7 linked regions of the Sus scrofa genome follow. The protein of the gene in region 5 interacts with the protein of the main gene of each other region in a biochemical or structural test. Links are inferred from orthologs where the notes say so. Each region holds a gene or a part of one and is shown on either strand. Other genes may lie near its edges. The genes, in order: ABCC4, SCN4A, KCNA5, GUCY1A2, SNTA1, SLC16A7 and MAPK12.

Region 1 (4,141 bases), on a different chromosome or scaffold from region 5:
ATGAAAGATTGCATAAATTACCATTAAATACCCGGTTTTAAACATAAATAAACACTAACCATAAAAAATTAAGGATTCAAGATTCAAAACTATTTAGTTTTATAGAAACGATGTGTGAGCAGAAGAGTGCATAAAGATTTCTAGGGAAAAGACTGAAAAACAACCAAAATAGCATCAAATGTACTTGGCTAACAGAAATAAATCCTTGGGGAGTTCCTGTTGCAGCTCAGTGGTAGCGAAACCGACTAGTATCCATGAGGACCTGGGCTTGATCCCTGGCCTTGCTCAGTGGGTTAAGGATCTAGCATGGCCAGGAGCTGTGGTGTAGGTCGCAGATGCGGCTCGGATCTGGGGTTGCTGTGGCTGTGGTGTATGTAGGTCGCTGACACAGCTTGGATCCCATGTTGCTGTGGCTGCGGTGTAGGCTGGCAGCTGCAGCTGCAAGTCAGCCCCCTAGTCTGGGAACCTCCATAGGCTGAGAATGCGGCCCTTAAAAAAAAAATTGCTCCTGCTGCTGCAGTAGGAAAACTGGACACAGGTGCCTAACAAAATCAGACAAGTCCTCACCTATCCCATTTACAGACACATACATTTTGAAAATCCACAAACAGAAGATGCTCTGAGAATTCCTTGCCCTGCCAGAAGTTACAGTAACCACACCCATAAGCCTAGGCTCTACTTTACTCAAGGGCCACCAAATGGCCAAGAGATGTAGCTACACACACTGAATACACCTCCAGCAAAACAAGCTTCCAACCCTTGGGGACCCTCTGCTAGGCCGGCCCATTAAAAAGGAAATTATCAGAGTATGGATTAGGGGCCAGAAACAAAAGATCTCATAATGACCCAAGTGTGATTAAAGGCCAAAGGTTCAGGCCCACCTAGTTAAGTAGTCCTAGCTACTAGATAAAAACTTTTAGTTAAAGCTTCACCAGAGTTCAGTAGCGGCTCAGCGATTAACATCCAAGAGGTTGCTGGTTCAATCCCTGGCCTTGCTCAGTGGGTTACGGATCTGGCATTGCGGTGAGCTGTGGTGTAGGTCGAAGAAACAGCTCAGATCCCGAATTGCTGTGGCTCTGGCATAGGCCTGAGGCTACAGCTTCTACTGGACCCCTAGCCTGGGAACCTCCATGTGCCGCAGGTGCGACCCTAAAAAAAAGGAAAAGAACTTCACCTCTGTAAGCTGTTTTTCATCAGGGTTTGCTCCCAGCTCAGGACGCTTCAGTGGATTTAGGACCAAATGATTCCTGGGCCGGACCATCAGCACTGTCAGACCATGCACTGCTTCTCTGAAGGCTAGAGACCTGGATAAGACCCCACAGGCCTCAGGGACCCCATCCCCAGAGTGGTCCTCAAAAGGGGAAGTAGAAATATTTGCAATAGGAAAGAGGCTAGCCAAGTTCATTCTCCAGTGCTGGCTGTGCCTCCGGGGCCAAAGCAAAACGTGCCCAAGAGCAGTGTGCCCCAGTAATTAAAAAATAGTGTAGTTTTTTCACCCACATGTAATTTGCCACAACTAGGTACCAAGATAGTGAGAGACGCACACGGAGAGGGAGGGAGCGAGACACAGTCACAAAAACACAGACAGAGGGAGCTCAGTGCAGTTTGGTACGCAGCTGTCATCTAAGAATACAGAAAAAGGTGGGGACATTGGAAGACGGCAACTGGTCCAGGGCACTAAATAGATAAAGGAAGCTGTTCATAAGATGCTTGCTTAGGGGGGAAAGGGTGCAGCTTTAGCTCAGAACTTCGAACTCCTTAGCAATACTGGGGAAGCCGGCTACACAGAGTAGGGAGTGGAGAGGGGGCGCAGCGCGTTCTCCTGCTGGGTGTAGATTCCCACTGGGCAGCCCAGGTTCTCCGCCTCTCCCCCTCCTGCTCCAGCTGCTCCCCCTGCTCCTCCTCCTACGGGCTGGCGAAACAGCGAGAGGAAAGGCAGGGACACCCGGCGGCCCCGCCACCAGGGCCTCCTCCCCCGCCCTGCTCCTCCGCCCCCGCGCGCCCAGGCTCAGGTGGGGACCACGCGACCCGCGTGGGGCCGCCCCATTGTCGGCGGGAAGCCGGGCGGCCTGGGCACCGGCGGGAAGCTCTTGCTCGCCCCAACCCTCTGTTCCCGAAAGGCGCCGGCGCGGCGGCGGCGGTGTCACAGCTCAGGCGGGGCGCTCACCAGAACAACACGCGCGAGCAGACGTTCGCGTCCCGAAGCGGGTTGGGCTTCACCTCCGGGTACACCGGCAGCATCCTGACGGCCAAGACGGGTGCGGGCCGGGGTCGCACAGCTCCCGCGGCGGTGCCGCTCACGCTGCTCCCGGAAGGGTTGGCGGAGATGCTGGACCTCTGGCTGGCCCGGGGGTCCGCCTGCAGGAGCCCAAGAATCACTCGCTTCCGGGAGTGGAACGCCTGCGGCCCGCCTCCCAGGCCGCGCCGCCTCCCGGGTCCGCCTCGGGGCCGCCAGCTACGCGCCGCTGCAGGATCTGCCGGGAGCCGGGTGCAGCGGACGCGTGCGAGCGGCGAGACAAAGGGGTGACTCGGCTGCCGCCGTCCGCAGCTTGGTGAAGGGGCGAGGCGAGGCCGAAGGTGCCGTTGGATGGAAGCGGGTAGACCTACCACGCGACACAGTCTGTCTCCGAGCCGAGACACCCACGTGCTCGCACCTGGCTGCAAGCTCAGCCTCAGTTCTTGCTCCCAGCCCAGGCACCCACCCAGAAGAGGTGGAGAGGGAGAGGCGTGGTATTTGCCCGCCCCTGCAGTTCAGAAACGCCCCCTCGGCTGCAGCTTTCCGAAGACCCAGAGAAGGCCGGCTGTAGGCATTAGCAGTCCGCCCTCTGGGCACCCTGCCCTCCTCACGACCAAACTAGGGTGCTATGGGAGGTTCTCCATCCTGCGGCTAAACATTTGACCTGGGACAACGGCTGGATTTAGCACAGATGTGTTTGTAACGCTGCAAGACCTAAAGATATGTAACAGAGAATTAGAAGAACTCAAAAAATTTTGGAAGACGAATGCACGCTTCCAAAGGGCTTTTGAGATCTCACATTACTGCATGGTGCGGGGGGGACCTCTGTAAGCTTTTTGCTGCCCTTTTAGATTGGGAAAGGGGAATATGGCGAGAGACTGCCTTATGATTTCTTTCATCATGTGCTCAAAACCTAGTGGAGTAACAGTGGTACATTTTATAAAACACCGGTTATAGGCACTTCTGGGGACCTGACTGCACTTTTCACTCTAACGATGCCCTAATAAAGAAGGTATTACTATCCCTGTTTTACAGATGAGAAAGATAAGGCTCAAGGACAGAACTTGTCCAAGGCTTGAAAATCAATAAACAGGAGTTCCTGCTGTGGCACAAGGGTATGGGAGATGTCTCTGTGGCATGTGGACACAGGGTTCATCCCTCCCCTGGCACAGTGGGTTAATGGATCTGGCCACCCAGCTGCAGCTCAGATCTGACCCCTGGCCCAGGAACTCCATATGCTTCGGGCTGGCCAAATAAAAATAACATAAAATAAAATAAAATCAGTAAATAATGAATTCTGATTTGGACCAAGTGAAAGTCCAGCATGGTCTCAACCGGTAGGTGGACAGTGTGCATGAAAAGTGCCTAGAATATGCTGTTTGGATGAATGAATGACTGCAGGTCTGAATGAACCAAATCTTGGGTATCTTCTCTTCCCTTCCACTCTAAATGAAGAAAGCTCAAAGTTCTTTGTGTTTACAATGATAACATCTTTTTTATTCTTTTTGAGTATTTCAATGTACCTTGACTAAAATACTGTTATTACTTTTTTTGCTGTACCCGGTAGCATGTAGAAATTTCCAGTTGGGGACCGAACCTGCACCGTAACAGTGACCTGATCCACAGCACTGACGTTGTCAGGATCCTTAACCCACAGAGACATGTGGAAACTCTTAAAATAGTGTTATTAATAATGGCTTTTTTCATCGAGAACTATGTCTAGATACTTATGTTGCAACAGAAGAAAGGGTGGGGGAAAAACTGTAATTGCAATGTATACATGTAAGGATAACCTGACCCCCTTGCTGTACAGTGGGAAAATAAAAAAAATAAAAAATAAAAAAATAAAAAAATTTTTTCACCACTGGAAAAATAATAAAATAATAATAATAATGGCTTTTTTTT
Region 2 (4,170 bases), on a different chromosome or scaffold from region 5:
GACCCCTAGGCCTGCCCACGGGCCCCCGCTGCCCCCTGGGTCTCAGGGGTGAGCTCTGCCCCATGACCCAGCCCTGCACCAGGGTCAGTTCCTCCCCAAGGAGCGGGGGCCTTCGCCGCTGTGGACAGAGCCCCGGCCACTCACGAGCTGTGTGCCCTGGGGAAGTGACAGGACCCTCTGAACCTGAGCCTTCCCTGTAAGAGGAGTCACAGAAAGTTTGTGTAGCCTGCACTGTGCCACTCTCCTCTGTCCCCTCCCCTCTGTACCTGCTCTCTGAAGCCTCCTGGCTCAGATTTTTCGTTTCCCTTCTGGAGGGAGCCTCCCCGCGCCTCTCTGGGAGGGCCCATCTCTTCTCTCCTCTCTGGCTCTGCCTGCCCCTGCCCCCCGCCCCAGCCTGCTCTGAACCCCACCCTCTTCTCCTTGCCATTATCTACACTCTTCTCTCTTCTGGTGGCAGGAGTTGCCCCCAAAGGCAGGCACTTTGTCAGAACCACCCCAACATCAGCCAGGAATTCTGTGCCTCCGGAATCCACCTCAGGGCTTCCCCTGGGCTGGGGCCTGGGGTCGGGGCCCAGAAATCCTGGCCTGGGAAGCCGGCCAGGCAGACCTTGACACTCAGGCCAGCCTAGAGCTAGAGGGGACCCTGAGCCCCCACCCTATGCAGGTCCCTAACCAGAAATGACAAGCAGGGCCAGGCGGGGATGGGACCACCCGGGAAGGACCCTTAGGCACCTCTCCCAACCCTCCTAAACTCCCAGCCAATCCCCTGAGAGACGCCTGTGCTGCGCTGGAATGGGGGTGGGTCCTTGGGTTCCGTCTGGGCCCCTGCCTCCAACTGCCCAGGTGACTTGGCTCCAACTACTAGAACAAGGGCCACAGCCATCCACACGACTGCCACACAGAGTGAGGCCGCCAGCAGGGCACTGGGGATGACCCCAGAGGAATCTGCAGGGTCCTGGAAGAAGCAGCCCTCTCTGCCTGCAACCCCAGCACTGCATGCCTGTGTCCAGCCACTGCCACGCCTGGGGTCTCCTTAGCTCGGGGCCTGGGAGGAGGGGAGCAGTCACAGCCCTGGTCACAGATGAATGACAACAACGCTCGTCTGTGGCTCTGTTCCACTTCTCTGGCAGCCCGTTCCCCTCTCCAGACTAGCCAGACGCCCCACACGGGCCTCTTGCTCCCCTCCCCAAGCTGGCTCTTCCTTAGGGGCTGAATTGAATGGCCTTCAAGGCTCCTTTGGGCTCTAAGCTCCCCGAGCTCTGGGGTGACTGATGTCTGGGCAGGCGCCTGAGGGGGCTGGTGTGGGTGGGAGGGGGACATGTCTGGTCTCCAACTGGAGGACCACCTCTAGACAGTGGGGTGCCACGAGCCTCCATCATGACCTGGGCCCCTGCCCTGACCAGGGGGAAGGGGCAGCCGGACCCTGTACTTAATCACCCCCGCCACTATGCATTCTTAGAAAGCCTCAAGCACCCCCCACCCCCAGGGCCCTCTAGATGGGACTCCCCAGTTTTTGGAACAAATGCCTCCAACACACGCGTGTGTGCGCACGTGCACACAAACACCCCTGCCCTCAAAGCACCCCTCCCTTTAGCCCCATGCACCTCCAAAACACCTTCTCCCATCTCTGCTCAGACCATTTCACCAGCCACGGCCCGCCCTCCCTCCCTCCCCGTGTCCTGGGTGCCCAGCGCTGCCAGCAGGGAGGGGGAGGGGGGCTACGCTGTGCTTTGGCACCGCACCCCTGGCCCCGCCTCCTGCCCCTGAGTCTCGTCCTGAGTCCCCCAGAGTCCCCTCAGGGCTGTGACCCCCTGTTCCCCTCACGGTGGACTGTCTGGCGCTCTGTCCCCACACCCCGTTCCGCTATACGGGGCTCTCCTCTGGTCCCCCTCCTTGATTTCTCCCAGGAAAGGAGCCCAACTGGGCCGAGGCAGGGGCGGTGGGCAGAGCCAGCCGCCACGCAGCCTGAGATGTGTCCTCTGCTGGCATCTCGCAGATTCCTTTCAGCAGAGAGCAAAGGAGCCGCCCGCCACCCCCTGCCCGGCCTCCCGCTCTCCTCCCCCCACACCCCTGCCTTCTGGGCCACTGCAAACAGGCTGAGCCGAGTCACTGTTTTGGCCCCTCCACCCTCCTCTCCTGAAGAAACTCGGCCTGGTCTCTGTCCCTTGGGTCACCCTGTGGCTGTCCGGAACCAAGCCTCAGCCCCTGGGCCATTTGTGACCAGGGCGAGGGCCCTTGCTAAGGGCAGTGACGGCCAGCCAGGCAGGGGCACAGGGAGCAGGTGACAGGGCAGAGAGAAGCGAGCCTGGGGACCGAGGGTCACGGCACAAGGAGTTGGGCAGGGGCCACCGCAGAGCAGGGCCGGTGTGGGCAGGAGGACAGCGGTGCCCGGAGCGAAGCGTGACTTCGTCGGAGCCAGGCTGGGCTTGGGGCCAGGGCTCCTGGCCCCTCGGGTGGCCTGCCCTCGGGGTGCCCGGCCCGGGGGCAGGGTGCCGAGGGGCACGGTACTTACAGTTGGACGGGAGCGGAGTGCTTGCTGCTGAGCCCGGAGCGTCGTGCCCACCTCGGGCTGGGGCTGGAACTCTGGGGGACTTGGCCGGGGGGCCGGGCCGGCGGGGACAGCTGCTGCCGCTGATGTCACAGGGTCATGAGTGAAACCTGAGGACTGGGCCAATCTTCAGGTGGGAGCCTCGCCTCCCTTCCCGCCCCAGGGCTGTGCTGGGCTGGCCTGGGACCCACGGGGCTGGGGGCCGCTGACCCGGAGCGTGACACGCCCGCCACGCTCGCCCACGCACACGCACACGCACTGGGGCCCGCGTCTGAGCCCACACACGTGGTTCTCTCCCTCCCTGGATGAACCAACGCAGGCTCATTCTCACACATGAATCTCCTTTCACGCTCATTCCCAGAAGCCCTTCCGGGGCCGCGCTGGCTCACATTTGCACGCTCTGTACACTCTCACGTCTGTGCACCCCCACACACACACTCACACATGCTCAGCCATACATATAAACCACCCTTCCTACAGTCACACAAACGCTTCCACTGTGCTTCATACCCATTCTCACACGTCTACGGCTCACACATACAGACACGCTCCCACGCTCCCATCGGGCTGGCGCACATGTGTGTATTATTACACACATAGAGCCATGCACACTCTCCTTCGCAGACGAGCACATATTCGGGTGTCCCAGAGGCTAAACTGTATCAAGTGTCCTCCGTGTACACACCACCCACAGTCGTGTCCCCGCATTCGTGCATGTCGCTCACGTTACATCCATGCAGCTGTCTGCCCCATGTAACATGCTCCCGTTTACATGTGCGCAGGGCCGTCTATGTTTCTACGGTCACTAGATTTTTATCAAGTATGTGCCCATCTGTATACCACACACACGTCTCCCTCTTACACACACAGCTGTTTAGGTGGAACACACAGCAGTCTTGAGGGGGCATTTCTCCACCACCATGCCCCTCACGGGGACCCCACTGGCTAGAGTCTCTTCCCCAGAGGTTAGGGAGGGGAGGCAGTGCGGGGAGAGATGAGGCTGGTTTAGCTCCCCCTCCCCCATCTTCCACTCCCGGGCTGTGGTGACCCCTAGTGGAGGTGTTGAGAAATGACCCATCTCAGTTTGCTGACCAGCACCTGCCCAGGCAGACAAGATAATCCCTGGGTGAATCCAGAGAAATGGTCCCCCAAAGCTCCCCCGAGTCTCCCATATCCGTCACTGCCACCATCTTTTCTAGCAGCCAGAGCTCCAGGTGAGCTGAGCCCAGGTCAGGTGGGCTTTGAGAAGGGCCTAAGGAGTGATCATCCTTAGTCCCAGGGGCGGGTGCAGCCTGATGGCACCTCTCCTGCCAGCAGCTCTCTGTGGATCCAGCTTCAGCACTGTGGAGCCGCTTCTTGGGGGCTGGCTGTGGTCTGAGAAGTTCCTGCTGTACCTGGACTTCCCACATCTCCCAATGAGTCACTCACACCCTCCGGGGTGTCTTCTCTAGACCAAGGTGTGAGCTTTGGTGTTTTCTCTGTGGGATTCTTTTTTTTCTTTTTCTTTTTAGGGCCACACCTGCAGCATATGGAAGTTCCCAGGCCAGGGGTCTAATCGGAGCTGCAGCTGCCAGCCTATGCCACAGCCAGAGCAACACCAGATCTGAGCTGCATCTGAGACC
Region 3 (4,236 bases), on a different chromosome or scaffold from region 5:
ATGCTTTTTGAAGAAAGTTACAAGAACTGGTTAAGGCGCACAGAAAAAGTTAGACTTGCTTTCTTCCAGAGCATTCTCTGCCCTAGACACAAAGCACCGAAATCACAACTCAGAAAAGAGAGAGGCTTGCAGATAACAGGAACCAGAACAGCCAGACCAGGGTCTCGGACTGTAATAGAAATATCACAGGAGAATGTTGCCATAACCTCCTCTTTCATAAATACAATGTATGTCTTGAAAATATATCCAAAATCTCTCCATCTGAACTACAGTACAAAAATCCACTCGCCAGCCATAAAAATAATATTTTCTCATGTACACAAATATAATTATATGTAAAGCAAATTTGGAACACAGGGATGGGGGGAGATTACCAATTCTCTGGGGATTGGGCTATTTAAAGCCATTTTTGTTTGGGTTATCCCTCTGCTGGGTCTAGGAAACTGGCTACAAATACATCCATCTCACAGTGCTCACCATTTCAACAGCTCCTGCGTCATGGAATGTGGTACTTTTTAAAAATAGGTGACCCTGGGTGTCATGGAAAGAAGAGGAAAGAAAAACTAGGGGATCAAGGAGACGCAGGAGGGGAGCAGTGAAAGAAGAAGGGGCGGACCTAGGTTACAGGGTGGGCTAGAAATACTCTTCGCCATGAAGTAGATCCCCAAGGTCAGGAGGCCCCCCGCTGTCCCCAGCTCTCTGCCAACTATCCACCTGCATCCCCCTTACAAATCTGTTTCCCGGCTGCTATCCAGGCAGAGGGCATACAGAGATCTCCGCAAGTCCACATTGCTCTTGGCCTTGAGGTTACACTTCTCTAAGGGGCAACTGCCCCTCCGGGATCCATCTGCATTATCCAGGGCCCCCACAGCCTTGCAGAGGGACCCCTTGCTCCAGCTGGCCTTCCGCTGGCCACCGCTGGCCAGTCCTGTCCCCTGGCTCTGGCTGCCCTGCTCTTCCTTAAGGGCTGCCTGCTCCTCGTGGTCCGTCTCCCTGTGGTAGAAGTAGTTGAAGTTGGAGACAATGACGGGTACAGGCAGGGCGATGGTGAGGACCCCAGCGATGGCACACAGAGAGCCCACGATCTTGCCCCCCACGGTGACGGGCCTCATGTCCCCATAGCCCACCGTGGTCATGGTAACCACGGCCCACCAGAAGCCATCCGGGATGCTGGAGAAGTGGGTCTCTTGGTTGTCGGCCTCGGCGAAGTAGACGGCGCTGGAGAAGAGGATGACGCCGATGAAGAGGAAGAAGATGAGCAGGCCCAGCTCCCGCATGGAGGCCTGCAGGGTCTTGCCCAGGATCTGCAGCCCCTTGGAGTGGCGGGAGAGCTTGAAGATGCGGAACACGCGGACCAGGCGGATCACTCGGAGGATGGCCAGCGACATGGCCTGCTGCCCGTTCTGGCCGCCCCCTCCCCCACCCCCTGGCTGCTGTTCCACCAGCTCGGTGCCCAGGGTGATGAAGTAGGGGAAGATGGCCACCACGTCGATGATGTTCATGATGTTCCGGGAAAACTCAGCCTTGCTGGGACAGGCGAAGAAGCGCACCAGAAGCTCGAAGGTGAACCAGACGACACACGTGGTCTCCACGATGAAGAAGGGGTCCGCCAGGGTCCTGGGCAGGAGAGGCGCCACTGTGGGACCTGAGGGAGGCGGCGCCGCCGCTGCCCCGCTGCCATTGGCCCCTGGGGCGGGTCCAGGGGGCTGGTGGTGCACCGGGGGATGGCGCAGCAGCTCGCGTTCATCCCTGAACTCAGGCAGGGTCTCCAAGCAGAAGGTGATGATGGAGATGAGGATGACAAGGACTGAGACGATGGCGATGGCCCTCGCGGAGCCCGAGCTCTCCGGGTACTCGAAGATCAGCCACACCTGGCGCTGGAACTCGTTGCGGGGCAGGGGCTTCTCCTCCTCCTTGATGAAGCCCTCGTCCTCCCGGAAGCGCTCCATGGCCTCGTCCCCCAGCTGGTAGAAGCGGATCTCATCCGCGAACACGTCCAGGGAGACGTTGACCGGCCTCCGCAGCCGGCCCCCGGACTGGTAGTAGTAGAGGATGCCATCGAAGCTGGGCCGGTTGCGGTCGAAGAAGTACTCGTTCCTCAGGGGGTCGAAGTAGCGCAGGCGCTTGGCGGGGTCCCCCAGGAGCGTGTTGGGGAATTGCGCCAGGGTGCCTAGCTGCGTCTCAAAGCGCAGCCCCGAGATATTGATGAGGACGCGCTGGTGATGGAGGGAGCCCGCGCCCAGCACCTGGTCCTCCGCCACGCCCAGGGCGGGGTCGCCATCTCCCTCCTCTTCCTCCGGAGGCAGCCACCTCGACTGCGGCAGCTCCTGGGGCGGCGGCGGCACCGGCCGGCCTCCCGGATCCGCGCGCCTCTCTGCTCCGCGGCCCCTTGGCTCCCGCTCCTTGGGTCCATCTCCGAGCGCAGCCGTCGGGGGGCAGCGGAGCTCTCCCCCTGCGGTGCCGGCCTCCCCTCCTTCCTTGACGATCATGGCACCGCCATTCTCCAGGGGCACCAGGGCGATCTCCATGGTCCGGGAGCGGGGGGCATGCTGCGCCCCTGCGGACTGACTCCCGCGCCCCCCTCACACCCTGCTGGGCGACCCGCGCCTGACGCCTCTTCTGCTGGCCGCCGGCACGGCTGTGGGGCGGGCTGGAGTGGCTGGCCGGGTCCCCTCGCTCGGTCCTGACGTCAAGAAGCCGCTGCCCTGCCCTCTGCCTCTCTGGGTTCTGGCAGCCCGTTACCAAGCAGCCAAAAGCCGCCTTCCAGCAGATGCAACCTCCAGCCGCCCGGCGCGGCCTCCGCCCCGCGCGGCTCCCCGCCCCCTGTCGTCCTCTCCTTCCCCCGCCTCCCCTCCGGGCTCAGAGGCAGCGGGAGTCTCCCCGGAGGGCGCAGCTGGGGCCCGAGCGAGGAGGGAGGGGCTGAGCGGGGCTCCGCCGGCGGTGGGAGGAAGGAAGGGAGGGAGAGAGGGAGTGGGGAGGATGGAGGAACAGGTTGTACCGAGAGCGCTGAAACTCCAAGGGCAACCAGATGAGAATAGCTCTGGATTTCAGTTCACCTGGGAAGCCCGCTGAGCGCCGATGGGCTCAGGGGGAAATGAATTGCCCTTGGAGGGATGATTTTGAGATGAGAGGGAGTATGAGAGAAGGCAGTGCTTTTTACGTTTCTCCCTTGGAGGAATAAAGGGTCTCTCTTCTTTGGGCAGAATTACAAACAGGAGGGGGCAGGATAGTTATGGACCTTGGGAAAAAAAAATGTATATATATATGTCTGTATCTCCAGATTGAAGGTGAAGCATCTCTTTTCCCATCTCCCTGCATACATTGGTACCAAAAGGTAACTGAGGGAAAATTTAGTGTGTCCTGCCGCTTAGTAAAGCCCCCATTCCCAGTGCAGACAGCGGTGGTCAGAGGGCAGATGCCACCCAGCAGCCCTAGGCAGCCAGCTGGGTCTGGGAGATTCGCTGCCCTGACGCTCACAACCTCGCTGCTCTCCCCACAAAGCCATTAGCAGAAACCATGAGCAGGGAAGGGGAGGAGGGAGAGAGAGAAGCTGGTGAGAGTGGTTTCTGCCTGGTGAAGCTGGGAGCCGGAACCAAAAGCACATCTGTGTAGGGAGTTGGGGTGGGGGCTCTTCAGGAGAGGGAGCCCCGGAGCTTGTGGAGTGCCCGGGGCTGGAGAATTCTCAGCAGTAGAATAACAATCCATACATACTTGGCTCTTTTGTTGTGTCAGGTCCATTTTCAGCACTTTACAAATATTGACTGGCCTATTCCCTTGGCAACCCATTTTCTCAGCAATGTTATTATCTCCACTTTTTAGAGACAAGGAAAATGAGACACAGAGAGATGGACTAACTTGCCTAAAGTCACACAGTTAGAACACGGTAAAAGCTGGGATTTAAACCCAAGCAAGCAGAGTTCAGGACCCTGTTCCTGTCCCTGTGCTCCTCTCTAGAAATGAGTCACCCCCTTTCAGATATAAGGGTAAAAGAGTTCCTGCTCCCCAACATCTGGGCTGACAGTTTTCGTTCCTCCTGCGGGAGGCAGGAGGGTGGCTAAGAGGACAGCTGAGTGCTTCTGGGTTAGAGAGCCAGGCTATCCGGCTCGCCCTAGCCCTGCTGGGTTTTAGCGAGGAGCATCCGTCCAGAGAGAAATATGCTTCAAGGCAAGTCTGGCCCATCCTGGCACAGCTTCCAGACGTGTTTTTGGTTTTACATTACCAGCAAGTCTCTGTCTT
Region 4 (4,122 bases), on a different chromosome or scaffold from region 5:
CATGTAGCTGATGTATACTTTTATCATCACAATTATTTTCAAATTTCTCATCCTGAACACTATTGTCTAGTTAAATGCTTTTTATCCATCAAAGAACCAGAGTCATTAATAAAAGTTAAAAATCAGAACTTATTTCCTTCCTCTTATTTTGGCAGTAAATACTTGAGTTCAGTTCATTTTATCTACCTTTCACATAAGTTGCTGAGAATAGACATGTTAAACTGGCATTACCAGAGGCACTGCCATAACTTTTTAGAAATTTGTAAATTATGATTTTTAGGCAAAAAGAAAATTAAGAATTATAGAAACAATTCCCCCAAATCTAATAATTATCTTTAGTAAAATCATCATATTGGATATGAATCTGTTATACTTAAGAATTAGTATATTGTACAAATGTTGCTTTAGGTACTGACACAAAACCACAGATGCACAAGGATTACTGGACTCCTTTCATAAAGGATTATGTTCAACAATTTGCAACTTCAAATAGTTCCTAAGATTATGCTTCCTGGGAAATAGCTGCATTAAGAATAGCAAACAGTAGCCAGCCCATTTTGAGTTTTGTTTCCTAGGTTATCGATAGAAGAAATGGCAAAAGGTAAATTGAAGGGAAAATGCACAAAAAAAGGAAGATGACCAAAGAGCAGTTTCACTGCTAAAAGAAAAGATCACACTCCATTTACGCAATGGCCACAAGACTGCCTAGAACCAGTTCCCTGTCCCTATGGATCTCATTCTTTCTCAGGTCGTTCCTACCATCAATCGCAAGAGTACTTTCAAAGGGGAGACTCAAAAAGGCAAACAAGCTCAATGTGCAGATTCATTTTAGAAACTTTAAAGAAGTGAATGTCTCAGAGATGGGTAGAAAAGTGCTGTCAGGAGTTGAAGTTCTTGTAGCCAATCAAGATGAGAACAAATGGTAGACAGTGGTTTGATACTGAATTCCCTTAGGATCCGGTCACAATGGAGTGGATTCCTTCAAAACACACCTCATACAGTCAGAGAAAGGTCTGACATTCGTGCTAAGAGTAGAGATCAAGGGTAGCCGAAATGCTGGAGCTGGAATAAGGCAGAAGTGCTATGGAAAGATGGCTAGAACCTGGGGGAGTCTGGAGTACACCTGGAACTGCTCATAAAGGTATCCCCAAATGAGCACACGTGGAGAGAGGGCTAGGAAGGCATTTATTCATTCAACAGATATTTATGAAAGGCCTAATATAAGAAAACCATAAAAAAGAAAAAAAGAGGTTGAAAGCACTAAAGAATCCAGAGGGAAGAGAGTGAAGGATGAGGTAGAGGTGCAAGAAATACCAGAGAGGTTTAGGAAACCAGACACCAGGTTTACCCAGAGAAGAAGTTTGAGCCAATAAATGCCCAGTGACCAAAAAAAAAAAAAAAAAAAAAAAAAAGAAGAAGAAAAAAAAAGGATATGAGGTGGTAAGAAAACAGGACATTAAAGGTTTCTTCATCAGAAGGCAACTAATAAAAAAAAGAAAAAAAATCTGACAACCAGTTCCCGAAGATTTAAGAAAAGGAATGCAACATAGAATGTAGTTAGCCTGCAGAATTCAAAGATGTCAGAGAAGGTCACGTTAAGACCAAGAGAGTGTGGGAAAAAAGAGAGGAAGAGTTTCCTGGAAAGGAGTAGGGGTTCCTTTGGGATACTGGAGAACAGAGATGAAAGACATGGAAATGGGAACTGCGGGACACAGTGCCTGGGAAAGTTTGGGGAAAAGAAAACAGGTGGGTGTAAAGAAGCACTAGGGCCATCAGGGTGACCGCGAGGAAGGAGGGTACAAGGCTGGAAGTGGGCAGACAGACCCCCGAATCAGGAGACCCCGAAAGAGTGAAGCTTTACTCCTTTCCCGTGCTCCACCGCCCCTTCCATCAGATCCCAAGGTCCAGTTTCCCCAGGGGTCCTTGGGGACCCTAGGCCTGGCGGTGAGAGCCCGGGCCGCCCTCCAGCGGTGGGGCTCTGCGCACACTGCCGGGCTTGCCTGGCGCCAACTTTCCCTACCCCAGTCCTCTCTTCCGAAGGGCGGCCCTCCTTCCACTCCCTGCTCACCGAGGGCGCCGTCAGGCGGCTGATGCTCTCACCCAGCGAGTCCAGGTTGACCCGCCTCCGGCGCTGCGTTCTCCTAGCCCCTGCCGTGGAGCTGGCGGCGGTGGCAGCGGCAGCGGCAGCGGCAATGGTGGAGGATGCCGGGGCCGGGGCGGCGGCAGCCGCCGCGCTGGGCTCCAGAGGCCCTGGCGGGCTGCGGCTGCCGTTCCAGCAGAGCCTAGACAAGGGGCACTCCCCCTCCTCTTCCGGGCTGGTCTCCAGGTAGTCAGAGCCCAGGGAGCTGAAGGACTCGGACGAAATCTTCCTTCGAGACATGCTGCTGGTGGCGCTGCGCCGGCCGAAAAGGAGGCGGCGGGGACGCGGGAGGCGGCGGCCGCGGGACCCGCGAGGGGCGGCGTTAGGAGTGTCGGGGCCGCGAGGCGTTGTGGTCGTGCTCCGCCGGGCGGGAGTTCCCAGAGCCGTGGAGCATCCAGAGCCGACTGTTCATGGCGGGAACTTGGGGCGCCGCGGCACCTTGGGGTCTGGGTTCGGCCGCGGTCACCGCCGCTGCTGCTGCTGCTGCTCCCGCGCCGCCGCCTCACCGCCGGCCTGGGCGCATCGCTGTGGACTCTCTCCCGCCCGCGGGAAGCCTCCGAGTATGTGACCGCGGGCGGCGGGGCGCGGAGGCTGCGGCCCGCGCGGTCGCGGAGGCAAAGGCTTCTGCCGCCTGCGCGCCTATCTCGCCCCCTTTCTTACGCTGCTCCCGCCCCTCTCCTCCCGCCTCTCTCCCCTTGCCGCCCGCCTCCTTCCTACTCCCTTTAACCCCCCCTTCCCCCCAGGCTCTCTCGCTCACGCTCTCGCTCGCTCTCTCCCCACCTCCCTTTCCGTCTCCCTCTCCGTCTCTCTCTCTCCGTCCCTCTCGCTCTCTCGCTCTCTCTCTCTCTCTCTCTCTCTCTCTCTCTCTCTCTCTCTCTCTGCCGGCATCACGTGTCGCCATCATACTCATTGGGAGTCTCCGCCTTGCCTGTCGCCACGTTTCAGGAGCAACAAGGACACCTCGTCGTCGTCCTCTGAGCGCCATCCCCACTCCTACCGTCCCCTCCTCCTCCGAGGGGGTTTGGATCTGACCAAAGGGCCCCAACTCCAAATGCCCTATCCATGGTCTGCGGGAGCAGCTGCTGGGGAACAGTAGGGCACCGGTGGGCACTGGAAGGGAGCAGAGAGGGGGGAGGGAGGCGGAAAGGAAGATCTTCCTCTGAAGCCACATCGGGAAAGTCTGAAAGCATGAAGTGGGGGGGTGTGGTCCGTAATTGTCCTTTCCCTCCGAGTTTATTTAGGAAGTTCTGAGGAGAAGGAGGAAGGCCAAGCGGCCCAGCCTGTCCATTCCAGAGAACTCGCTTACAAAGGAAGGGAAGGGGCAACATGTTGGCACCCTTCCTGCTGTAGCAGCTGGTGAGGACTAGTGTTCTCCGCCTCGGTCGAGGCTGCGTGGGCTCGCAGCAAGCCCAGAGCCGGGAGGCAATGAATAAGGACAGCGTCTGCTCGGGCGAGAGCCCTGTTGCTGAGCATCAGCAAGGCTGGGCGCGTGGGCTCCTGGCTCCTGCCGGCTCTGCACTGATGCTGGACAGCTCCGCTTGCCACCTGCAGCAGCCTTTGCAGACTTGCAGACCTGGGGACAGTTCCTCTGCAGACTCAACTACCTAGGACCCAGGAGTGATCTCAGGCCTTTCATTCTCCCAGATATTTGAGCCAAATATGGTATCTGTTTGCACTTGGCTACAAATGTGCTTGGAAAGCTAAGGGCGTGGTGGGGGTCTGGGGCGCGTGGGGAAAAGGCTTTTCAAAGCCCAAGAACAGCCTCGCAAGTTTTCGATAGAGCTGCTTCATTCCAAAGCTTGCCTCTTGGCAAAGCAACAGCCGCTGTTAGTGCCCGTCCCCATTGCACTTGCTTTAGCCCCATGAAAGTGTTGTTCTGACATTGAGAAGGGGCAAATATGAGTGTCCCAAAAGTAGGGTCCCTGGCTATACTTCGCCCTGCAGCAAAGCTGACTAGCATACTCCTCACGTTTCCCTTCCCC
Region 5 (3,500 bases):
AGTGGGTTAAGGATCCGGCGTTGCTGTGAGCTGTGGTTTAGGTTGCAGACGTGGCTCGGATCCTGCGTTGCTGTGGCTCTGGCATCGGCCGGTGGCTACAGCTCTGATTCGACCCCTAGCCTGGGAACCTCCATATGCCACAGGAACGGCCCAAGAAATGGCAAAAAAAAAGATTCGACTGCAGCACCTTAGGTCACTGCAGAGGTGCAGGTTCAATCCCTGGCCCAGGCAGTGGGTTAGCAGTGGGTTAAGGAGCTGGGAGCTGTGGTATAGGTTGCAGCCGAGGCTCAGATTCAATCCCCAGCCCGGGAACTGCCATATGCCACAGGTGCAGTCATTTTTAAAAAAGGCCCCTTCGGTGAAACACTTATAAGCGACCTGTGAATCACCAGATCTTGCCTCATGGAGGCAGGCTGCAGCTAAGGCATCAAATAGGGCCAGGAGATTTGGATGCTGAACATTAATTAGCCCTCTAGGCCAATACTGAGCATTTGCCCAACTGAACCTCAGCTGTAACTAGAACCTACAGCACAAGCCATTTATGCCCACACCATATATATGGACTGCACACCCAATAGTGCACACCCCTTTTGATCAACTGAACTCCATTCAACCACCACCATCACTCAGGCACCTGAAGCTTCTGAGGTAGAGAGGGCTACCTGGAATGAGACAAGTTCCATCCCTTCCTGGTTGTGTGATCTTGGGCAGGTTACTTCCTCTCTCTGTCCTCATCTATAAAATGGGGATAAAATAAAAGGACTTTGCTCATAGGCTTGCTATGAGTTAAATTGTGCATGATAAATACTCGTAATATTGATTATCAATCTTATCAGCAGTGAATCTTATCATCAGGGCTGTTCAGATGTGAAAGATGGTAACCTGCCTTGGCCCTGAAGTGAATGTTGCATCTCAGAACCTCGAGACTTGAGGGGATCACTGAGACCAATATTTTTTTTTTCTCTTTTTAGGGCTACACTTGTGGATATAGAAGTTCCCAGGCTAGGGGTTGAATTGGAGCTATCAATGCCAGCCTACACCACAGCCACGGAAACAAGGGATCTGAGCCATGTCTGCAACCCACACCACAGCTCCCAGCAATGCCAGATCCCTAACCCACTGATGTGAGGCCAGGGATCAAACCCAAATCCTCATGAATACCAGTTGAGTTCGTAACCTGCTGAGCCACAATGGGAACTCCCTCCAGTATTCTCATTTCACAAAGAGGACTCATCTAAAGGTCAGTACAGTAGGAAAGGAGACTGATTCAAGGAGAACCAAGACTGGAATCCAGGGCTCCTCCACAAACCAAGTTTCTTCTCAAACATGAACTTCGCAGAGGAAGAAGAGATAAGCAAAGCCCACCATCATCCCCGTAACTTCACTCTTACAGCCACTCAACAAACATTTCTTAAGCACCTACTACATTCTGGCATGGTGCTTGTCATTTGCAACACAGGGGAAATTTTCCTTTGGCCCCACCAAACTAACATGAGGTCATGTCTCTCTGAGTTGCCCCTATGGGAGGCTTACCTGGTCTCCAGGTCAGTAGGGGTGCACCTCCTTGAGACATATGCCATCTTCAAGGACACGTGTTTGGCATCACTCAGGTCCCGGGGTAGGGGGCCAGGGGAGGAAGGCTGCCGCTGTAGGGGTGAGGCAGGAGGCGAGTCCCAGCCAACTGAGGTCCCACTGGCAGAGTTCTTGAAATATGGTGAGACCTCCTTCATGTACTTGACTGGTTAGGGGACAGGTCAGCAGTTACCACTATGACATGGGCTCCCATATAGCACACATCACAATTATCACTAATTCATTAAGAGTTTAATTTATGTCCACTATCACTATCCTCCTCGATGCCAAAATCTCTGACAGGGCAGCATGGATGCATGCCAAAAAAATTCTGGATGCATGCCACTAGTCACATGTAGTTACTGAACACTTGAAATCTCCTCAATCAGAGTTCCCATTGTAGCTCAGCAGTAATGAACCCAACTAGTATCCATGAGGACTCAGGTTCGATCCCTGGCCTTATTCAGTGGGTTAAGGATCCGGTGTTGCCACGAGCTGTGGTGTAGGCTGCAGACATGGTTCGGATCTGATGTTGCTATGGCTGTGGCATAGGCTGGCAGCTGCAGCTCCAATTCAACTCCTACCCTGGGAACCTCCACATGCTGCGTGTGCAGCAAGCAAGCAAGCAAGCAAGAGAGAGAGAAAGAAAAGAAGGAAGGAAAGAAGGAAGAAAGGGGGGAGGGAAGAAGGAAGGAAGGGAGGAAGGAAGAAAGAATGAAAAAAAAGGTGCTCAATAGCTAGTACACATGAGGCGCCGAATATTTTATTCATTTCCTCTGCGCAACTGACCTATAAAGTCATTATCAGACATGTGATCCTGCCCTCCTGGCTATGCTAGCTGGATCAGGGTTCAACACCTAACACCTTAGGCTACCCAGATTGAGACTGTTGAGGGATCCTTAATTGGTGTCTTGAAAAAAACCTGAATACTCTGGGGGCAACCACCTTCTGCTGTAAGAACAGAGAAGAGGAGAGAGTTGATATGTCAGAAGAGAAATTTAGTGGAGATGCATGTTGAGAGGCAGAGGGAAAACTCTGCCAGACATCTGCTAAAGTTCTGCTTTCTCACACTTCTTCTTTAGAAAGTCAGGATACCATCCTAACAGGAGTTATGATATTTACAACCAAGAGCCTTGACTGGAGGCTAGATTCCACGCCTTTCTAGAAAAGGAAGATCTCACTAACAACGGCAGCTAGAAGAGAAAAGCAACATGATAACAGGGTTGATCTGAGAAGAGCTTGGTGGGAGTAGAGGTTCAGAGACAAAAGTCAATTTTCTTGAGCACCTACTATGTGCCAGGTATTGAACTGGCTTCAGATATGACTGGGGTGGTAAACATATGACACTTATGCTACCACTTCTTTACCCCTTGTTCAAGATAGACATCATGAATCAACCACAGTATTCTATGGCAGCCATTATTAATCAATTAAAGCCAATTGATAATAAAACAAACATTTGGTCATTCTTGCTCTATCAATTAGTTGAGCTTGGCTGCAAGTAATGGAATATATGATAACAGTGCCATAAGCAATAAAGATATTTATGATTTTTGGAGTTCCTACTGTGGCACAAGTCAGCAGTGCCTCCGGAGCACAGGAACACAGGTTTGATCCCTGGCCTGGCACAGTGGGTTAAGGATCCGGCATTGCTGCAGCTGTAGGTCACAGCAGCTCGGATCTGATTCATAGCGTGTGAGCCAGCAAGCTCATACGCTTGAGGGCAGCCAAAAAAAAGAAAAAGAAAAACAAAGATTTTTATGATTTCATGTAACAAGAAGTCTAGAGGAAGGCAATTTCAGGATTGGTTCAGTGGCTCAATGACATTGGATCCTGGGTAGGCCTCTCCGCCCTGCCCTGATGAGCACAGGTTGGCTGCTGCAGACTCAAGCCAATCTTTGCTTTTTTGGAGGGGGGGGGGCTGGGTA
Region 6 (4,221 bases), on a different chromosome or scaffold from region 5:
TTTTGTAGCTGGGTTTTCCATACACTTTCTTCCTCACAATAGTACTTCAGGAGAGGTACCATGAGTCCTATTTTATGAATAAACAAAACTGAGGACAGACTCTTAAATAATTATTTAACCTTACAAAAGTGCAGAACTGAGCTTGAAATCTAGGTCCATCTCTAAATTTAATTACGTTTTTTCCATGTGAATGTCTCAAAAACTGGCGAATGAACGTAGGATGAAAAGCAAATGCAGACTTCTTTTACTTTAGATCCATGATCCAAGAACATAACTCTGGCTAAAGGGTATTTTGGTAGGTCTTTCCTCCTTCTTTCCCTTCAAGAGGGCTCAAGGCCAGTTATAAAGAGTAAATGCATGTTTAGAAATGAACTGAGCATTTACAGGAAGATGCAGGCACTAACTGGGGCATTGGGAAACAAGTGTTAAAATTTCAGATCACTTACATTATTAAAACAATCCCTGGGGTGAAAACCAGTACGTAACGGCTAACTATTGATGGGAATTTTGCAAAAACTAGTTTCTGACTTTATGAGTTGTTACACAACACACTGAGTTGCTTAAGGTAATCTTTCCCTTTCACTGAAATCATTCAGTCCCCTGCTGATTTAGACTGCTTTAAATGCAATGCACTCAGAAGCATAAAGTGGAGCTACATTGCCCCACCAGGGCCAAATAAGAGCCAGCTTGTTCAGCCCTCATCTATTCTCTGCAGCCACCACCCAACTCAAATTTTTCAGCCACACTCCCCCAAATACACTTAGTTCTTGTGGTTCCAATGACACTGCACATTCAAGTCAACGTGTCTGCTGAAAGTTTGTGGCCCTCCTGAGTTCCCAGTTTGGATTTAGCCATAAGGCATGGGGTTCCAGGAAAGGGCATCTAGTGCCCACTGTTTGCTTTTGCCCAGACTTTTTCACATCACCCTCATCTCTGCCCAGAGGTTTTATTCCTCTGCTGCCTCCCTTATTAGACCAGAGAAAAGAGAAAGATAAAATATTAGCTTTCCGGAGTTTGCGTCGTGGTGCAGTGGTTGACGAATCTGACTAGGAACCATGAGGTTGCGGGTTCGATCCCTGCCCTTTGCTCAGTGGGTTAAGGATCCGGTGTTGCCCTGAGCTGTGGTGTAGCTTGCAGACGCGGCTCGGATCCCGCGTTGCTGTGGCTCTGGCGTAGGCCGGTGGCTACAGCTCTTATTCGACCCCTAGCCTGGGAATCTCCATATGCCAAGAGAGCGGCCCAAGAAAATGGCAAAAAGCCAAAAAAAAAAAAAAAAAAAAAAATTGGCTTTCCTACTACCACCAGCCTGCCTTCATGCAAACCAGCCCATTCAGTACTGCTCCAGGAAGGAAAGGCACAGGTATTTGTAGAGAAATCACTCGTGTGCGTGTGCGTGTGTGTGTGTGTGTGTGTGCGCGCGCGGATGTTAATTTCCCTGACAAAATCCACAAAATTCCCTCCCTAGCCCCACCAGTAAAGTAGCTTTGGGCATGACTGCCCTTGCGAAAGCAGTCTGCAATCCTTTTCACGGAAGTAAAGGAGAAAATGGGGGGGAGAAAGCAGCTACCAAACAGAATCCGCCGAAAGAGGAGGCAGTTCCCACGTGAACAGTGAGCCTCCCGCGCTACCTGGCCAGGCCTGGCACCCCCAACGTGGCGCAGCGGCCCGGGCAGGAAACCCAGCATGAGCCCAGGAGACACAAGCCCTCCTCTGCCCGGGTCAAGTTCCTTTTCTATCCCCGGGGCGGGCCTCGTCTGCACACACATTTCCACCTGCCTCGCTCCCGCCACGCTACCTGGGGACAGAAATAGAAAAAAATCGACCCCCTTGGTAATTCATCCCCTCCTCTCAGCCTCTCCAAGCCCCGAAAATCTGCTAAAAAAGACGTTCCCTACACACACTCTCACCACCCCCAGATCCCCAACTTCTGCCGCACGAGGCCACCCTGGGGTGCTCGTGGGCCGGAGACTGGATGCTGACGAGAAGAGCACCCGGGAATACGCCAGGCGGGAACCTGCCCGGGAGACCCGTGTGCCAAAGACAGAGAGGGAGGAGCGCTGCGCTGCCTGAGCCTCGGAGCAAAAGCCCCGCAGCTTGGGCACCTCCCGCCCGGAAGCACGCGGGCACACCCCGCACTCCCCGCACTCCCCGCCCGAGTCCCTCGGGCCCCCCTCCCCGACGCGCGCGCGCGCTCCAAGCCCGCGCCCCACCGCGCCCCGGCAACTGCCCCGCTGCTGTCGGCGCGCCGGGGTGACGCGAACTCTCCTCCTGGGGCCGCTTCGGGAATTTTTGTCTATATAAGGGCTCGCGGGCAAGCTCGGCTTTGGTGCGCGTGTCACAAGCTAGCCATTACTTTTACACACGCGCGTGGTTCCCCGGGTAGCTCTGGTAACAGATGCGCGTTCCCCTTCCTCTCTGCCGGCGCCCCCTCCTCTCCTCCTTTCCTCCCGGGGTGTAACTTACTTTACCTGGTCTCCAGCACAGGCTGGGCGCTGCAGAGATCCGTTTCCCGCCAGCCACAGCAGATTCGCCTTGCGGTCACCGGGTGAATGGAATTATTTATTTATTTAGGTCCCTGGACGAGTCCTCCCTCGCCGCAGCCCGAGGAGGTGGAGGAGGAGGCGGGGAGAGGAGGCGGGGGAGGTGCGACTGAGTGCCCTTGTGGGTGCCCGGGGCCATGCGCTGCGCGCTGGGGGGAAGCGGAGATGGGGGCACCGAGGAGGGCGGGGTGAGCACCCGGGGCGTTGCGGGAGCCCCGGGTCCTCGGGTGGGGGCCAGCCGCCGCCGGGCGACTCCAGACGGACTGAGCATGCTCCAAATGACTGTCAACGCCGTAGACACTTAACTCTGTGGCTCCAGGCGCTCCACTTCAGATTTTAGTTTTGACCCAGAGGGTAAACAAGTCTGGTAAAGAGAACTGTAGGTCCAAATCGGTCGGCGCACGCTTCATTCGCCCCCAAGTGCTTTGGCGCCTAACCTAAGAGCCTAATCTAAGAGCCAGGTGTGTGGTAGCTCTGTTCAGATACCCCGGGGAGTGGTGCAACCTGTAGGTGAGGCAGGCAGTGCGAAACGAGAAGAACTTGGCCGAAAGCAGGGAGAGAAGTCTCCTTGTGAGCTTGGAGACAAGTTGTTGGACCGTTTTTTCAGTTGAAATCTTTTGGCGGGCGCGAGGGGAGAGGGGATGGCAGTGTTGGAGATTAGACTCGCCAGCCAGGTATCACTCTGAGGGGGAAAATACGGTTTACCCCGTGCGTGAAGGAGTAGCACTCAGAAGACCTTGCACGTAGGAAAGAAATGAAAGTCATTTGTAAATGATTCAAATTATTTAATTCTTCAAAATAGGATTTAGTTATTCGACAATACGTGGTGCTAGTGATAATGGTAATTCCAGTCTTGGTTTGGTTTCTTCTACCTTTATTTTTACTCCGTGTCTCCAACATATTTCCGGGAAAGTTAGAAAGAGGAAGGGCTGGAAATGAACATTTACATCGGGTTCCTTTAATATTTTTAAGGTTGAAGTAAAGTACTACTTAGAAACAAACAACCCAGAAGAATAAACGTGGGCTTGGTTTTGAGCATTCCTAGTCCAGTTTTTCTGTCAATTTAACTGCCTCTCCCCAATTCCTGCTCCAAAAAAGTGAAAAAGATAAAATGTTACATTAATCTAAGATAAAAATATAACTTCCTAGACGTTTTCCTTGTTTATTCTAGAAATTAGATCATTTCTAAAAAGCCAAGATAATTTAGTTAAAATAACTGGAATTTGGAAGCCTGAAGGACAAAGAATCAAAAAAACAAGATGGTAGTTATAATAAAATAATTATTTATTAAATAGTTATCATTGTCGGTCACTGTTCTTTTTATATGGATTATCTCAATGAATACAATCACTCTATTACATTATTCACATTTTACAAATTTGGAAACAATTTAAGTCATTTGGCTAAATTCACATTGCCTTACTTCTGCCAAAGCTAGTCTGTAGGCTTGGACAAAACTTGAATTTTAGTTTCTGCAGTTACAAAATAGAAATAAAATCAACTTTTTATTACTGATAGAAGATTTAGGTGAGATGATATATGTGAAGTTGATAATATGATATGAATAAAATGATGGCCAATATTAGTAACTTCAAAAAGTTTGGAAAACAGTATTGCAGAGAGACAGGTAGTTTGGAAACTAAGGAACTAAGGCAAAACTTCCAGATAGGACTTTAGACTT
Region 7 (4,074 bases), on a different chromosome or scaffold from region 5:
GCCCCAGGCGGCACTCACAAGTCTGTAAAATCATCCAGGGTCTCATCAGGCGTGAACACGTCCAGCAGTCCAATCACCTGGGGAGGAGGCCAGAGCACCAGGTTGGCCGGGGACACGGGGGCTCAGACACAGCCTGCTCTGGGCAGGAAAGCCTCCTGCAACTGGCCTGGTCTCCCCCCACCATTCAGGGCCTGGCTCTTGCCCACCAGCAGCTCAACCCAGCCCTGGCACACACGCCCATGGACAAAGGCTATTTTGGGATGGTGACAGCCAGGATCCTCCAGGGGAGGGGCGGCCCCAAGTCTGGGTCAGCTCCCAGGCCATCCAAGGAGCGCCAGCCCCATGGCCCTTCCTCCCCCTCTTGCTGTCCCCACTGAAGACCCAGGACCACTGTGGGGACAGCCTCTCAGGGGAGAGTTCCTTCGAGAGGCTGCGCCTCTGCCAGAGGCCCAGGCAGGCAACACTGTGGCCACATCGACAGCCCTCTGACCAGGGGTGATGGACAGCAGACAGGTAATGTGACAACTGCTACCTGGGGTTCCAGTGACAAGGCCTCCAGGGACCCTGGGAGGCTGAGAATCAGAGTGGCTGGAGGAGCAGGTGGATGTGCTGGCAGGGGGACACCTGGCAGAGGCCAGGCAAATGATGGCCGGGGCAGGAGGGAAATTGCTTGGTGCGTTTGAGGAACACGGGAGAGAGGCCAGGTGGCCAAGGACCAGGCCAAGGAGTAGCCAAGGAGAAGCCGAAGGGAACCCGAGCAGGCCCTCGAACACCAGGGAAGGTTTGCTTTGATCCTAAGAGCCACTGAGGACGGTGAGATGCTGAATGTGTCCCCTGGCTGCTATATGGGGACAAACCAGAGTGAGGTGAAGGTGGATGGGGGTGGAGGGACAGCTAGATGACCAAAGCGGACACCAGAGCCAGAGATGTGGGCGGGGTGGAGGGGACAGAGTGGCACATCCAGAGGGGCCTGGAGGCAGGTGAGCCGAGGGCCCTGGGAGGAGGCTTTGGCAGGAATGGCGGGGGGGGGCAGGTGGTATCCATCAGGTTGATGGAGATCTCTAGGCCTCTGCGGTGCAGACGGGGCCTGGGGCGGGGCGGGGCGGGGCGGGGGGGGGGGGAGGACGGAGGAGCTCACGCGGGTGTGCCACTCGGCCTCACCGAGCCTAGCTCCTCCTAGGAACTGGGTTTAGGAAGCTCTTGGAACAGCCCTGCAGGTTGCAGCGCTCCGCGCTGTGGGTCAGGGGCTCCCCTGGGAGAAGGACCCACTGGTACAGATCGGGGCGGGAGGTAACTGGACAGAAGGCCTGGAGACGGCACTGGAGCAGCAGGTGGTGGGGAGAAGCCGGGTGAGGACTCTGGGAGAGGACAAGCCTGAGTGTGACCAGATGTGACCCAGAGGCAGTAAAGGCCCGGCTGGGCTGGTGAATGGGTGCCACCCGGGAAGGGTCAAGGGTAGAGGAGTCTGAGAGAAAGAAGGACCCTCTCTGCGAGGGGCTGAGAGGTGGGCGTTGGTCAGGAGCCAAGGGGTGAGTTTCCTGGTGGACACGGAGGCTCATTCTCGTGGTTCTGATGAGCCAGGAGGTGCCAGACCACCACGATCAGTCGGGGTCTGGGCGCCCAGATCACCAGCCCTCAGACTGGGCAGGGGTGGCTTGTGTGGGAGGGGACAGAGCTCAAGGCCACAGGCAAACAGCAGGAGCACCCCCAGCAGAGGGAAGGGCTCTTAGCAGCCAGCAGCGTTCCCAGGAGAGGCTTGAGGCAGTTCCGGACGCAACAGACTTTTCCCTGCCGGAGGCTGGGTCCAGCCCCTACCCCAAGGGCTGTGAAATGCACGCCGCTGGACGTGAGGAAGGCGTGTGCCCCGTGTCCTTCGCACACCAGCTCCCCAAGGCCCACACAGGCCCCCTCGGGGCTCCCAGGGCTGGGGCTCAGGAGGTAGAGGGAGCACAGCGGGTTCAGGAAGGGGTGCCCAGAAGAGACACGGTGCCCCTTCCAGAGACTCGCCCCCCACCTGAGGTCGCCTCTCGCCTCGGGGATCCTGCTTGGAGGCGGGACCTGGAGTGAGCCCCCGGGCAAGAGGACGTCGTCCCCTGACCGGGGCCTGGGCCGGGCGGACGAGCCGGATGTGGCCTCGGGAAGGAGCCAAAGACCAGACCGGAGTCCTCTCCAGGGCCTCGCCGCCGCCGAGGGGCTGCGGGCCAGGCGGGCGCGGGCGCGGGGGCGGGGGGGGGGGGCGGGGAGCCGAGGCGACCGCGCGACTCACGTTGTCGTGGCGCATGTGCTTGAGCAGGCGCAGCTCGCGGTAGGCGCGCTTGGCGAACAGCTCGGACTGGAAGGGCCGGTACAGCTTCTTGATGGCCACCTTGGCCCCGGTGCGGGTGTCCACCGCCGAGCTGCGGGACGCACCGCTTAGCGGGAGGGCCGGCCTCGCCGCCCGGCCCCCGCCCGGCCTGCGCTCACCACACGGCGCCGTAGGCGCCCGAGCCCACGGGCTGCAGGTCCTGGTACACGACGCGCACCTCCCAGGCCGTCTTGGTCACCTCCTGGCGGTAAAAGCCCTTGCGGGCGGCCGCCGGGGCGCTCATGGCTGGCCGGGCACCGCCCCGCCGCAGACCCCGCGCCCCGAGGACCCGGGGCCCGGGTTCCGCGGGGCACCCTGGCGCGCGCCCCTGGCCGCGGCGCGGGGCAGAGCCGGCGCCGCGCCGCGCCGCCCGTCGCCGCCGGGGCTCCCCCGCTCCCGGCTCTTGCCTCCGAGCTCTCCGGAGCCGCCGACCCCGGCCCGGGCACAGCGCGGCCCCTCCCCGGCCGGCGCACCAACCGGCCCCGGGGCCGCGCGCACGTGACGCCGCGCCCGCCCTCCGGCCCCTCCGGAAACCTGAGGCGGCCGCCCGCCCGCCCGCCCGCCCCGCCGGAGGCCGGAGCCGGAGCCGGGGGAGGGGACGGAGGGGACGGGGAGCGGCGCCCGCCGCCCCGGCTCGGCCCAGCCCCCGGCGCCCGCCCCTGCCCTTGCGATGAAGCCCGCAGACCTCCAGAGAGGAGGCATCTTAACAGGGGCCGCGTCTCCCGCCTGCAAGCACCGCCCCGGGGCGCTGGCCCACGGCGGGCGGCCCGCCGGAGCTGGGCAACCTCCAGCCCAGCCCATCCCCGATCACTGTCCACCCCCCAGCGCGCCGCCTGGTCGGCCCCAGCTCCGCCGTCCCCAGCACCTGCCTTCCCCCTTCCCCCTTTCCCTAGGAAAAAGTCGGTTCCATCTCCCAAGTCACACAGTTGCAAGTCCCTCTGCCTGTCCTGCCCCTGCCCAGCCTAGGCCCTCTGGTTTGTTCAAAGGCCAGCGGGAGCCTCCTCTCTCTCTCCAGGAAGGTGTGCCTGACCCCAGGGGTGAAGGGGCCTCTCAGTGCCCCGCCCCAGGTGGGGGCTTCATCATTTCATGGGTTTGGCCCCTCCTTGACCCGCTGCTCCTGGAGGACAGAGCCCCCAGTCCTTTCCTTGTCCTGCCCTAGCCCAGTGACCCAGGCGGGAGAGAGAGTGGGGTAAGAAGATCCCCAGGGCCCCCTGCCCCGCCCTCTGTGCCCTGCACCATGAATCAGCAGCTGAGCAGCTCAGGCCTGGCCAGAGCAGCTTTACACCTGGGCTGCCGAGGGCATCTGGGCGCTCTGGAGTGGCCGGCTGGTCAGTGGGAGCAGCCTGGGGTCACTGGAGCCACCACCGCCTCTCCCCAGGTGCTTCATGCCCTGGGCTGCCTGTGGCACTCTGCCTGCCTCCTCCAGGAAGCCCCCAGCAGTCCAGAGGTTTCTGCGTCAGACCAGACTCCCCGGTGAGGCATGTCCCAGTTCTGCTCCTGTTCGCCCCCGGCCCCCCGCCCAGGACTGGACCCAGCCTGGTCTCCAGGGGTTTTCCAGGACCAGAAGCCCAGTACCCGCACCACCCAGGCCTCTGGAGGCCCACCTCCCCAGTGGTCTGCACCCCAAGGCCTAGGCAGAGACATAGGCTGTCCCTGTCCTGCGGATACCCTGCCTGATTCCCCCTGGGGGTGTGCCTGTGGGCTGAAGCAGCCCGCCATCTCCCTGGCCC

What was found.
Region 1: the proteins of SNTA1 (region 5) and ABCC4 form a complex in vitro, tested with the Homo sapiens proteins (2 studies listed by BioGRID and IntAct, with this or other methods). The link is inferred for Sus scrofa from reciprocal best matches to the Homo sapiens genes SNTA1 and ABCC4.
Region 2: the proteins of SNTA1 (region 5) and SCN4A interact in a test that uses a peptide from one of them, tested with the Homo sapiens proteins (2 studies listed by BioGRID and IntAct). The link is inferred for Sus scrofa from reciprocal best matches to the Homo sapiens genes SNTA1 and SCN4A.
Region 3: the proteins of SNTA1 (region 5) and KCNA5 interact in a test that uses a peptide from one of them, tested with the Homo sapiens proteins (2 studies listed by BioGRID and IntAct). The link is inferred for Sus scrofa from reciprocal best matches to the Homo sapiens genes SNTA1 and KCNA5.
Region 4: the proteins of SNTA1 (region 5) and GUCY1A2 interact in a test that uses a peptide from one of them, tested with the Homo sapiens proteins (3 studies listed by BioGRID and IntAct, with this or other methods). The link is inferred for Sus scrofa from reciprocal best matches to the Homo sapiens genes SNTA1 and GUCY1A2.
Region 6: the proteins of SNTA1 (region 5) and SLC16A7 interact in a test that uses a peptide from one of them, tested with the Homo sapiens proteins (3 studies listed by BioGRID and IntAct, with this or other methods). The link is inferred for Sus scrofa from reciprocal best matches to the Homo sapiens genes SNTA1 and SLC16A7.
Region 7: of the proteins of SNTA1 (region 5) and MAPK12, one has a biochemical effect on the other in vitro, tested with the Homo sapiens proteins (2 studies listed by BioGRID and IntAct, with this or other methods). The link is inferred for Sus scrofa from reciprocal best matches to the Homo sapiens genes SNTA1 and MAPK12.

What each region holds. Positions count from the first base shown.
Region 1 is NC_010453.5:64,307,032-64,311,172, forward strand, and holds the start of ABCC4 (multidrug resistance-associated protein 4), read right to left. Parts: upstream 2,801-4,141; 5' UTR 2,242-2,800; coding exon 2,168-2,241; intron 1-2,167. UniProt on the Homo sapiens protein: ATP-dependent transporter of the ATP-binding cassette (ABC) family that actively extrudes physiological compounds and xenobiotics from cells.
Region 2 is NC_010454.4:14,999,986-15,004,155, reverse strand, and holds the start of SCN4A (sodium channel protein type 4 subunit alpha), read right to left. Parts: upstream 2,801-4,170; 5' UTR 2,513-2,800; intron 1,757-2,512; exon of another isoform or gene 1-1,756. UniProt on the Homo sapiens protein: Pore-forming subunit of Nav1.4, a voltage-gated sodium (Nav) channel that directly mediates the depolarizing phase of action potentials in excitable membranes.
Region 3 is NC_010447.5:65,439,408-65,443,643, forward strand, and holds the start of KCNA5 (potassium voltage-gated channel subfamily A member 5), read right to left. Parts: upstream 2,801-4,236; 5' UTR 2,529-2,800; coding exon 726-2,528; 3' UTR 1-725. UniProt on the Homo sapiens protein: Voltage-gated potassium channel that mediates transmembrane potassium transport in excitable membranes. Forms tetrameric potassium-selective channels through which potassium ions pass in accordance with their electrochemical gradient.
Region 4 is NC_010451.4:62,100,259-62,104,380, reverse strand, and holds the start of GUCY1A2 (guanylate cyclase soluble subunit alpha-2), read right to left. Parts: upstream 2,801-4,122; 5' UTR 2,381-2,800; coding exon 2,069-2,380; intron 1-2,068. UniProt on the Homo sapiens protein: Has guanylyl cyclase on binding to the beta-1 subunit. Isoform 2 acts as a negative regulator of guanylyl cyclase activity as it forms non-functional heterodimers with the beta subunits.
Region 5 is NC_010459.5:36,925,733-36,929,232, forward strand, and holds part of SNTA1 (alpha-1-syntrophin), read right to left. Parts: intron 1,739-3,500; coding exon 1,534-1,738; intron 1-1,533. UniProt on the Homo sapiens protein: Adapter protein that binds to and probably organizes the subcellular localization of a variety of membrane proteins. May link various receptors to the actin cytoskeleton and the extracellular matrix via the dystrophin glycoprotein complex.
Region 6 is NC_010447.5:24,711,588-24,715,808, reverse strand, and holds the start of SLC16A7 (monocarboxylate transporter 2), read right to left. Parts: upstream 2,801-4,221; 5' UTR 2,469-2,800; exon of another isoform or gene 2,464-2,468; intron 1-2,463. UniProt on the Homo sapiens protein: Proton-coupled monocarboxylate symporter. Catalyzes the rapid transport across the plasma membrane of monocarboxylates such as L-lactate, pyruvate and ketone bodies, acetoacetate, beta-hydroxybutyrate and acetate.
Region 7 is NC_010447.5:428,361-432,434, reverse strand, and holds the start of MAPK12 (mitogen-activated protein kinase 12), read right to left. Parts: upstream 2,801-4,074; 5' UTR 2,589-2,800; coding exon 2,464-2,588; intron 2,397-2,463; coding exon 2,267-2,396; intron 78-2,266; coding exon 19-77; intron 1-18. UniProt on the Homo sapiens protein: Serine/threonine kinase which acts as an essential component of the MAP kinase signal transduction pathway.